2 linked regions of the Arabidopsis thaliana genome follow. The protein of the gene in region 1 purifies or fractionates together with the protein of each later gene. This does not show direct contact. Each region holds a gene or a part of one and is shown on either strand. Other genes may lie near its edges.

What was found.
Region 2: the proteins of AT3G54360 (region 1) and CAT1 purify together in Arabidopsis thaliana (affinity purification with mass spectrometry, with the first as the bait; one study listed by BioGRID). This does not show direct contact.

What each region holds. Positions count from the first base shown.
Region 1 is NC_003074.8:20,127,568-20,133,561, reverse strand, and holds AT3G54360 (zinc ion binding protein), read left to right. Parts: upstream 1-1,648; 5' UTR 1,649-1,800; intron 1,801-1,960; 5' UTR 1,961-1,980; coding exon 1,981-2,369; intron 2,370-2,456; coding exon 2,457-2,691; intron 2,692-2,810; coding exon 2,811-2,956; intron 2,957-3,590; coding exon 3,591-3,678; intron 3,679-3,759; coding exon 3,760-3,906; intron 3,907-4,678; coding exon 4,679-4,828; intron 4,829-4,929; coding exon 4,930-4,992; 3' UTR 4,993-5,008; exon of another isoform or gene 5,009-5,269; 3' UTR 5,270-5,435; downstream 5,436-5,994. Other genes in the region: AT3G54363 (uncharacterized protein), read left to right, coding at 1,027-1,323. UniProt on the Arabidopsis thaliana protein: Has holdase chaperone activity that may fold catalase to a functional structure. Not required for the peroxisome import of catalases. Required for the activity of catalases and acts mainly at the post-transcriptional level.
Region 2 is NC_003070.9:7,144,902-7,150,717, reverse strand, and holds CAT1 (catalase 1), read right to left. Parts: upstream 4,083-5,816; 5' UTR 3,907-4,082; coding exon 3,892-3,906; intron 3,306-3,891; coding exon 3,209-3,305; intron 2,936-3,208; coding exon 2,658-2,935; intron 2,480-2,657; coding exon 1,703-2,479; intron 1,613-1,702; coding exon 1,523-1,612; intron 1,433-1,522; coding exon 1,365-1,432; intron 1,263-1,364; coding exon 1,109-1,262; 3' UTR 538-1,108; downstream 1-537. Other genes in the region: CAT3 (catalase 3), read right to left, coding at 4,525-4,584, 4,677-4,838, 4,938-5,027, 5,113-5,816. UniProt on the Arabidopsis thaliana protein: Occurs in almost all aerobically respiring organisms and serves to protect cells from the toxic effects of hydrogen peroxide.

The sequences.
Region 1 (5,994 bases):
ATAAACATAGTTCTCTCTTTAACCAAATAAACCAAGATCGAAAATTAACTGGCATCGGAGATTTCGTCGGAGATTGAGACACCCACTTTAAGAAAATTTGATCTTCTTGCCTTACTTGATAATTAAAAATCTTCAGAAGAAAAACCTTGGGATACTTTGGATGGCAGACGGTGGAAACTCAGCTAAACATGCAGAGACCGTCGAGAACGCCGTGGCCGGAGATATCGACTATGCGACTTGAACCGGTAGAAAGAACCCAAAATCTGGGCGGATTTCGCCCTAGATCCGTATTGTTGAAGCTGTGTGAGGAAACCCAAAATTAGGTCACCCAACCCGAATCACCACAACACCGACAGTGAGTGGCATAGAGCGATCGTGATTAGGCCAGGGAGTATTTAGTCAGAGAAGAAAACCACGCTAATTTGCAAAATCACCAATCGAAACTATAGATCTAATAAGAGAAATTGAGGAGGAAACGAAATCGAAACCAACCCAGAAATCTCCTTAACCACAACTTAAAGAGACATAACTGAACATAAACCAAAAAGCCAAACCGACGTCATGACCGTGGTGGCTCACAACGCCGGCGGAATTGAAGCGGTGCTTTTGTTTTTAAGAGAGAAGGAAGAGGATATATTTTTTTTTTTTTTTTTTTTTTTTTTGAATATTAAAAATTGTTTACTTATGTTAGCTGATTAATATTAGTAGTATCAAAAACCGTCTGTTACAATTTTCCGATAAGGCCGTCCAATTGGTTCAATTGGCTTCAGCCCGACATCCACCGGCTTAGTATGCGGCGATGGTCGGCTTTCGTCCAGTAAATCCGGCTCCCATTAGCGGTTTTGGCTGGCTTGGTATTTTCATCTGCCGTGAATCGCTGCCGTGAATCGGTTTTATGCCGATTTCTTTTAGTCCTCTTTAGTTTATCTTTTAAAAATCTCTCTGATCTATGTTTGGTGGTGCCAACCTAACAATTTCTCGTTCAACGGTGGTCTCCAACTAGCTCCTTGAGTTTTGTTTTGTTTTATGTTTCCGGTGGTTTCCAGTGAGGTTATGCGGATATCTAATCCGACCAGATCGGGTGGATTTGCTGCTTTTTCTCTTGGATGTTCTCAAACTGGTTCTTCAGATCTTTGGTTACAACAAATCTTCATCGGTAATTATGTTCAATGTAATGAAAGAAGACTTGTTTCCAGCATATTAAGATTGCCTGTAGCTGTTTCAACATTCTCCGGTGACAAGCAACAACAAAAAACGATGCTTAAACTTTTTCCGGCGTCGATTGTGTTTACAATAGTCGGAGTAATTAACGGCGAAGGATGACGGAAAGTTTCCAAGCTTTTCTTGCAACACGTTTCATCTACGTATCTTTGTGTTTGACACGTGTATTGAGCAAAATTTTATCTTTAAGTGATGTAGCCATTTGGGCCATTAATGGGTTGTAACCATTGTGATGTGGATTTTAATAAAACTAAACCTTCAGTGAAAAAAAAAAAAAAGCTGATTAATATTAAAAATCCAACCAGTTTATAATCCAGAACAACGGTTTTCTTAAATTGACTAGTGACCCAAATTCTTAAATAGGCTACAAAAACCGCAGGCCCATTTAGTAATATCTATTTTTCGTTTGACTGAGAGAAAACAAAACACCATCCAATTCCAACGCACAAAAAAAAAAAAAAAAAAACTTATCGGAAACAGAAAAAAGAAGAGAGAGAGCTATCAATCGATCATTGATTGATTGCAGAGAAGCAGCGAAAGAGACATTTCCAAATCTAATCTCAATCCAATCCAATTCAGGTTTTTTCCATCTCTCTCTGTTGAGCTACTTCTGAATTAGCTTCTTCTATGTTCGATTTCCAGCTGTTGATAGTTTAGCTAGAGAATCAATTTCGAATTTCATCTTGAGGAAGCAATTTTAGTAATTTAGGTTTTGAATTTTCCTTTTGAGGTGTTGTAGGGTTGTTGCTACCTTCACGAATGACGACGACTTCTGTTTGCCCGTTCTCGAAAGCTGCTCGTCCTGACGATGGGTCGACTCGAAAACAAGGCGAAATTACCGCTTCTGGTTGTCCTTTTTCTAAAGCTGCTCGTCCCGACGATGCCTCTGCTCGAAAGCAAGGGGAAACGACGGCTTCTGGTTGCCCTTTTTCTAAATCTGCTCGTCCTGACGAAAATGGGAGTAAAGGATGTCCTGAACAAGAAGGAAACTTGAATAAGGACTCTACTGATTCTGCAACGGTACCTGCCAAGTGCCCTTTTGGCTATGACTCTCAAACATTCAAGCTTGGGCCTTTTAGCTGTATGTTATGTCAAGCACTTCTATATGAGAGCAGTAGATGTGTGCCTTGCACACATGTGTTCTGCAAGTAAGCCATAGTTGCTCGGCCGCTTATTTCTTTTTTGGCTCATGATTGGGTCTACTTTTCTTATACTTTGTGGTTTCTTGAATGCAGAGTATGCTTAACACGGTTTAAGGACTGCCCTCTATGCGGTGCTGACATTGAAAGTATTGAAGTTGATGAAAACCTTCAGAAGATGGTTGATCAATTTATTGAAGGCCATGCTAGAATTAAGAGATCTGTCGTCAATGGAACAGAAAAAGAAGAGGTCGAAAATGATAACAAAAAAGTGATTTACGCTGACGTTTCCATGGAAAGAGGTTCTTTCTTGGTGCAACAAGCTATGAGGGTGAGTTCTGTCTCTAAATTTTGTTGACCTAACCGATGGGATTATTCTCTTTTGCACCACTTACATTTGTTATGATGTCCCGCTGTGAGATCTTGTTCTAATTCAACTTGTATGCGCAGGCATTTAGTGCCCAAAATTATGAAAGTGCTAAATCAAGGTTGGCAATGTGTACCGAGGACATTCGGGATCAACTAGGGAGGGAGGGCAATACACCAGAGTTGTGTTCACAGCTTGGTGCAGTCCTTGGCATGCTTGGTGACTGTAGGTATGATATTGTCTTCTTTTTTATCCCAAGTTGTTTATTTCTAAGATGTATCCATTCTCGAGTTTCTGTGAACAATTAAGATTATGAAAACAACGGTGCTTTCGAATGTGGTCACCAATGTGGTCTTTTATGATCCCGCTTGAGCCACTTTGTTGTTCAAATTGATTTTTTTTAATTTGGAGTTTCTCAAGTATGTGGCCCTTCCTTGGCAGTTTCCTCAATTGATAGTTTCTCAAGTCGACTGGTTGTTGCTTTCATCTTGCTTAGAGTGCGCATGGCACTTTGGGAAATACTAAAATAATTTCTTTCTCGTTTGAACTAGATTCTGGTTTTCTAGATGGACCCTGTCTACATCAATTGACTGGAAATATATTCATATATTCAGATTTTTCTGTATCCTCTTATCATTTGCATACATCTTTCTCTGTGGTTCAATCACCTCGTTCAGAATAAATGGAAAGGAGAAGCAACAGTACATGCTTGGTTCGAAAAACCTACTTTATACATAATCATTTTCTCCTCCTGAACTGTGTTATTTTGGCCAAAATGTTTGATCTTCTGTTTGGTGTGTTGAATTTTTTCTTTTTCCGGGACTTAAGTTTGATGGTTAAATTATTTTTTGTTGTTGTTGCAGCCGAGCGATGGGAGACTCAAGCTCTGCAGTCAAGCATTTTGAAGAGAGTGTTGAATTCCTTATGAAACTGCCGTTGAATGATTTGGAGGTTATAGCACATTGGTTCTTGTTAAATTTTGATGTTGAAAACTTTTTACCTTTTTGCTTACAATTTTAACTTAACTTGCAGATTACACATACACTTTCTGTCTCACTCAATAAAATAGGAGATCTAAAATATTATGACGAAGATCTACAAGCTGCAAGGTCGTATTATGATAGAGCTTTAAATGTCAGACGTGATGCAATGAAGCACCACCCAAATGCTCCTTCACAAGTAAGTGTGCCCTCATACAGTTTTCTGTTTTTGCTCTTCTTTGTTTTGTCCCAATGTTTGGTTAGCTGAACTGGCTACTCTTAGTCGCCATATACATTTCAAGGTCTCGCAGAAAAATATCTGTTGTTAGCTAAGTTATTGACTTATTGTAGCATTCGTGAAGGCTCTTTTGTAGATCGTAATCTCTCACTCTCTAGGCAGAAAGCGTTTATTTATGTGATTGTTACATCTTGGTGTTCATTTGGGTCCAGGCAAAATGAATTCAAATGCATTAAAAGATATAGAGATTAACTTAAGGTGCTAGTGGATCAAAGGATCTGAAATACGATGTAAAGTGAAAATAGTATACTTGTTCTCAATGTGTTCAAGCGGGTTTCTTGGTTCACTCTTTTCATTTTACTTATTTGTTACTTTACCATGAATGTTCAGAGAAATTCTCTAAATAGTTTCCTAGATTTTATTCAAGTCAATTGCTATTTTGTTGCCTGGGTTGAACTGAGGTTTAGGTAACTGACGTGTTGTCGTTGCAGTATACATACTTGGATGAGGTGTCATTTAATTCTCTGCGATAAAGTTACTCTCTTTTGGATACATATAATTAGATTTACGTGCATTGTAATTGGGTTATTCTGTTGGTTGGAAATCTTCTCTTTGTTTTCTTATTTTATACTTGATTTCTTGCCTAGAGAAATTGGAACTCAAATATAGTAAGCAAAGGTCTGTCCGGAAGTAGAAATTGATTTCTTTTGTTATTTCTACATTTTTTATGTAGATTCTGGATGTGGCTGTTTCCTTAGCCAAAGTTGCGGATATAGACAGGACTCTACAAAATGAAGTTGCAGCGACAGATGGGTTCAAGGAAGGCATGAGACTGCTGGAATCTTTGAAACTGGACTCTGAAGATTCTGCTCTCGAGCAACGGGTAAGATTCTTGCACGACTCCCTTTTTATTTGTATCTTATCCAAAGCTGCTGAATGTCAGTAAAACTTTATCTGACAAATGTAATTTTAACATGCATGCAGCGGCTCTCTGTACTGGAGTTCCTTAAGAAGCAAGTAGAAACCGATGCTGAAACTGCACTCTAAACCGATGCAGGCTTAAGTACGTATATAGAAATTATACCTAAGTTCTCGTCTGTGGCATTTTGCTGAATAAAGAAAGCAAAAATGTTGTATTTGCGCTCAAGGGACAAAGAAACAGAGTTGTCTGTATGTTGTGAATTGTGATGGTTTTCAACTTTCAATGCACTAATCTTGCAATGTTAAATTGTTAAGCATGATTGTACTCTATGCACTTGTGAAATTTAAAAATTAAGATATCTTAAGCGGCTACAGCTGTGAACTGCTTTCTATTTCTTTTCAGTGCAAAATGAGAAAGAACCCAACAGAGATTGAGAGATGATGTGAAAGGAAAATGCAAGTATTTGCAAACTCAATCAGCTACAAAGAGTATAAATTGCGACAACAAAAATTTGTCTTTGTTGTTTTGTTGAATGAAGTTTTTCTTGTAACTACTCTTACAAAAATAAAAACATAAACATAGTCAATCCCTAAAGCCGATGATACTATGCAAACGACAAAGATATACTAACTCCAACGCACGAATCAACAAAATTAGGTCACTTTTACGAAAATAAATCTACATAATCAACAAAATTAGGTCAACTTCGTTCTATTTGTAAAGCTTTTTTCAGTATTTTTTTCTTTAATATGTTCACGTCTTTTAACTGTTCATATAATTACGTAACTAAATCTTTAACTTCGTATGTAAAACTATGTTTTTACGTATTAGATATAGAGAAATTGTTAAGAATGTTTTTCCAAAAATATGTTTTTTTAGTACTATCCTCCCATGTAATCATTTTTATTGATATTATCTTTTAATTATTAATGACTATTTTGCTTCTATTTGAAAATACTTAAATCAACAAAATGAAAAAATGATTTTTTCCGCCAAAAAATGTACTTCACATCAACTGCTATGAAACAATGTACTGATTTTATCAATTCACAAAAATTCTTGCCTCTAATCAATCGTGATTCAAGCAATCATGCAAAATCTTGAGTAACCAAGCCTAAAAAACCTAA
Region 2 (5,816 bases), on another chromosome or scaffold:
TGTTGGTAGACCTAGACGTAGGTCCACGAAATTATACTCTTGCATTATACACCTCAAAACTTAGATATTTACATAATTACATTTTATCGTTTAGTATAGTGCTTAAGTTCCGTCACATGCAATCAAAGTAAAGTCTTCTTGATTTCGTCATCAAGATATTGACTTTTCCTAAATGGATCCGAGATCTTGTTAACGACAACCAAAACACGTTAAATTTGTTATTGTTTTTCGTTAAACTGCAAAGTTATGAATTTTAAATGTATAAAATCCTGGACCATTAGCAAACACAGTTCACTATACCATTTCATTGGATAAATAATCTCTTAAGATGCGTAACTTCGATCTAAAATCTTCGCACACTACCACTTAACAAGTTGTAAAAAAAAATATGAGACTGAAAAATACATGAGAAAAGGATATTATTGGTGATTAAGTTTGATGTGGCTCCATGTGTCTAATTTCTGATTTGCGCTGAGGTTCTCTTTAAGAAAAGAAACTACTGGCTGAGAGACATCAGATTAATCAGACTGTATTAGCTGATTAAAAGTTAAGCGCAACAAAGTATAAGCATAATTAAAATTGGTCTGCTCTCATTATTCTTTTTGCATTTCCACTAGCAGCGGAATAATCAAATACTCCACCCCCACTTACATGTAAATTATAAATTATGAATGCGATGTAGCATCATAACGATTGACCAATTAAAAGGTCTGACGTGATGAGTGATGACTATGCCAATTTATCAAAATATGGACAGACATAAAACTTTTTTATCAAGATCGTGCGTCTGACATTAGACCCCAATAAAATTCCAACTATAAGCTCACGTCATAGATGCAGAAGATTAAAATACAAATAAAAATCCATTTTTAAAGTAGAACCAAATGGATGATAGTGATACTTGTTTACTAAGCTATATTAGTCATAGCTTTTTATTTATTTGCCTTAGAAAATAATCGTTAATATTTTGAAAAGAAGATTACAAACAGGAACTAGTACCCTTCTTTAAGCGTTTCATTGTCAATAAACGAGATTACTTAGAAACCAAACCGTAAGAGGAGCATATTGAGTTTATAGGATTTCACTTAGTCTTTAGAGATGATATCATTCAGAAGTTTGGCCTCACGTTAAGACGAGTTGCTAGTTTCTGTCCCAGAGATTTGTCTGCCTGAGACCAGTAAGAGATCCAAATGCTGCGGATTTCGTGCGTGACACGAGGCTCCGAAAGCGCTTCAACAAAACGCTTCACGAATCGTTCTTGCCTATTGGTACAAAACAAAAGACCATTAGAATGAATTATGACATTTGTGGTTCATGTGTAATTGTTGATTTTGCAATGTGGTTTTTGAGTTTTTAGTGTTTACCTGTCTGAATCCCAGGACCGGTATCTCTCCCCTGGTTGCTTGAAGTTGTTCTCCTTCCCGATGAAGCACTGTGATATAAAGATGACATTTGAGTTTTAACTATGACTTATGAGGATAAAACTTGTGATCAAAAATTAATGTATGTAGAGGACTCTGACCTTCTCACGATTTCCAGAGCAGACAATAGGAGTTGTAGGGTATTTTTCGGCATGGCGAACTGGATCCAACCTTGAAGGGAAGTAATTGACCTGGAATTGGAAAGCAACAAATTCACTTCATATAAATGTGATTGCGAATTTAAGTATCTGGGAGTTTCTAGAGCCGAGAGATAAGATTACCTCCTCATCCCTGTGCATGAAGTTCATAAAACCATCATGGTGATTGTTGTGGTGAGCACATTTAGGGGCATTAACAGGTAGTTGCAGATAGTTTGGTCCAAGACGGTGTCTCTGACTATCAGCGTAGGAGAAGATCCGGGTCTGGAGTAGCTTATCATCTGAATAGTGGATGCCTGGAACCACAAGAGCAGGACAGAATGCAATCTGTTCGTTCTCATTAAAGAAGTTGTCGATGTTTTTGTTCAAGACCAAGCGACCAACAGGTTGTAAAGGCAAGATATCTTCAGGCCAGATCTTTGTGACATCAAGCGGATCGAAGTCAAATTTGTCTTCATGGGCAGGATCCATCACCTGAACGAAGAGATTCCACTGCGGATAGTTCCCGGCTGCGATCGAGTCATAGAGATCTTTGGTGGCATGGCTGTGATTGGCTCCTCCAACTCTGATAGCTTCCTCATCCGACAGGCATTTGATCCCACAAGTCGGCTTCCAGTGGAATTTCACATAGTGAGCTTTTCCAGCTTTGTTGATTAGCATGTAAGTGTTGACCCCAGCGCCTTCCATGTGCCTGTAGTCCTGTGGGATACCGAGATCATCAAAGAGAAATGAAAACATGTGCAAACTCTCTGGGTGGTGGGAGAAGAAGTCCAGTATCCTCCAGTTCTCCTGAATGTGAGACTTGGGATTCGGTTTCAATGCATGGACCATGTCAGGGAATTTCATTCCATCACGGACGAAGAATACAGGGAAGTTGTTCCCAACAAGATCAAAGTTCCCCTGAGTTTGCAAACAGAGGGTAAGAGGAATCATCAGTATAGTATGATATGATTTGCAAGTAATCATATAGGTGGTGAAACGAAATAGATAAGCAAATAAACGTTTGAATATCAGCAAACACATCGATATCGGTTATAGAAAATAGAGAGACAATGGAAGGATAAGACAAAAAGCTAACCTCTCTGGTGTAAAACTTAACAGCAAAACCACGGGGATCTCTGAGAGTCTCGGGACTGCCACGCTCATGGATGACAGTTGAGAAACGAACGATAACAGGAGTCTGAACACCAGGTCCTCGAAGAAAATCAGCAGAAGTAAGTTGGGTAATGTCATGAGTGACTTCAAAGAAACCCTTAGCACTGGCTCCCCTGGCATGAACAACCCTCTCAGGAATCCGCTCCCTGTCAAAGTTAGCGAGTTTCTCAAGCAGATGATAGTCCTCCAGAAGGATTGGACCTGACAATATATAAAACCATCGCTTAACATATCTAAAAATCCAAGCAACTGAGACAGAATCAACATTGAGGAATTATATCAGATTTGGCATAAAACTGAAGGAAGAAATGTGATTTACGCAAGTCCACAACAAAAACACTAATGACATTATTATCCAAACGTTTATAAAATTATTTGGCTTCCACTACTCTAGCTTTAAGGGCATTTCTAACAACCACTGGTTCAACATATTTGTTATAATTTGTATTCAAGAGATAAGAAAGAGAAACGGACCTCGAGTTCCGACAGTCAAAGAAGAGTTGTTGTTCCAGACAGGAGCACCCGAGTTTGTAGTGAAGAAAGGGGAATCATGAGCGCTTGAAGGACGAACCTGCACACCAACAAATAAATTCAGAAGAACTGGATCACAAAAAAATTAACCAAATTTCCATAGATTGGAGAAACGTCTATGACAAATAATGATACATTGATACTTGATACATAACAATTCCACATAAGTATATATGATCAATTAAAAAAATACGATACAAGCAACAATGATATTCACAATTGAACACAGTGATTAAAATAACTTTAAAAAAATCGTAAAGAAACCTTAAAACATGTACAACGATATTGACAGATCACGTCAGCCTTAAGACTTGTGTATTAGAACATGAGCATGAGCATGAGCATGTTGACAAATAAACAATCAATAGACGGAAAAACATGTTGAATTTTCCAGTGGAATCTTCAACGCATGCAAATCGAAACCCAATCTCCACTATATAATAAAGAAATCGATTCACACAAAAAAACCTCAACAAGTCGAACAATCACCCCAATTTTGCATCATTTTAACCGAGAGAGAGAGATCATTCATACACTTTGGATTCAACACGAAATCACACCAAATCGATACGAAATCAAGTAAGGTAAAATCACAGATTACAAAAAAAGAGAATCAATCGATGTACCCTGTATGGATCCATGATGCTTGAAGACAATTTTGATCCGAATTTTTCTTCTTTTGCGATTTTTAGGTGAGACTGTGTGTATCTCGCAAATCGGCGTGTGTCTGCACTGTTGTCGATTTTTTTTTTATAGCGAGAGCCAAAATATCTTATTTTAGCTCAACACCAAAACACGTATGTGTTTTGTCTTTGTTAATCCTTATCCAAATGATAATCCTCGTATTAATAGTCAAACTAATTACGTGTGGATGATATCGTCTTTGATTTCGCCAGATACTATACCATAATTAGACAATTGTTGATCCATTTCAGGATTCTCCTTAAAATAATACATGTTCAATTACGGTATCTTCTCTTTTTTTTCCTGAATTAATAATATGTATAACGACCACCATAAATCTTAGAAATTGTTTACTGCTTCAAGAAACATTGATTTATTGTAAAAAGAGATTACAAAGACAGTGAGAGTAGAAAGGAAGGAAACATGAGTTTTTGGGATTACAAGCATTATTATTATATAGACAAGAAACAACAACACATGTGATTATCTTTTTGACGGATTTAACGACCAAGCGATGATAGATCGATGAGATTGATTGTACCTCACATAGACTGAGCTTATATGGAGATTGGCCTCTAGATGCTTGGCCTCACGTTCAGACGGCTTGCAAGTTTCTGTCCCAAGGATCGATCAGCCTGAGAGATACAGAGAGATAAATAATGTTTTAGTTTGCTGAAACTTGGTAAAAAGGACGTAGAAATTTGACCGAGTGTTTTTTTGTTCTGACCTGAGACCAGTAAGAGATCCAGATGCCGCGGATCTCGTGGGTGAGACGTGGCTCCGATAGAATCTCCACCCATCTCTTAACAAACCTGTCTTGCCTGTCTGGTGCCCATGATCTGTACCTGTCTCCAGCCTGTTTGAAGTTGTTCTCTTTCTTGATGACGCACTGCAACATTAGCAATTAAAAGGTTTTCTTAGCACCAATATTCTAATAAACTTGAGTTTAGGATTTGAAGATTTAGAGAAGGCATGGCAGGAATCGGACCTTTGTTCGAATTCCAGTGTAGGAGTTTGTAGGGGTGGGAACTTTCTCAGCGCAGCGGACAGGATCAAACTTTGAGGGGTAGTAATTGATCTGTAAAAAGTACAAACCAAATGAGAATTTTGATTCCAAGTAAAAAGACTAACAATGGTAGCTCAAGTGGTGTACTAAGACGTACCTCCTCATCTCTGTGCATGAAGTTCATAAAACCTTCATGGTGATTGTTGTGGTGAGCACATTTGGGAGCATTGACTGGAAGCTGCAAATAATTCGGTCCAAGGCGATGTCTCTGAGTGTCACCATAAGCAAAGATCCTACACTGGAGCAGCTTGTCGTCTGAGTAGTAGATTCCAGGAACCACAAGACCCGGGTTGAACGCAAGCTGCTCAGTTTCATTGAAGAAATTGTCAATGGTCCTGTTCAGAACCAAGCGACCAACCGGTTGCAGAGGCAAAATATCCTCAGGCCAGATCTTGGTCACATCAAGTGGGTCAAAGTCAAACTTATCCTCATCTGCAGGATCCATGGTCTGGATGAAAAGTTTCCACTCGGGGTAGTTGCCAGATGCAATGGCATCGTGGAGATCCTTAGTGGCGTGGCTGTGATTGGCTCCTCCAACAACCTTGGCCTCTTCATCAGTCAGATTCTTGATCCCACAAGTTGGTTTCCAGTGGAACTTCACAAAGAGAACTTTTCCAGATTTGGCAATAAGAGTGTAGGTGTGGACACCGAAACCCTCCATGTGCCTGTAATCTTGTGGAATACCAACATCATCAAACATCCAGCACCATGTGAGCAAACTCTCAGGCAAGTGGGACATGTAGTCCAGAATCCTCCAGTACTCTTGGATGTTTGTTTTCGGGTTAGGTTTCAACGCGTGGA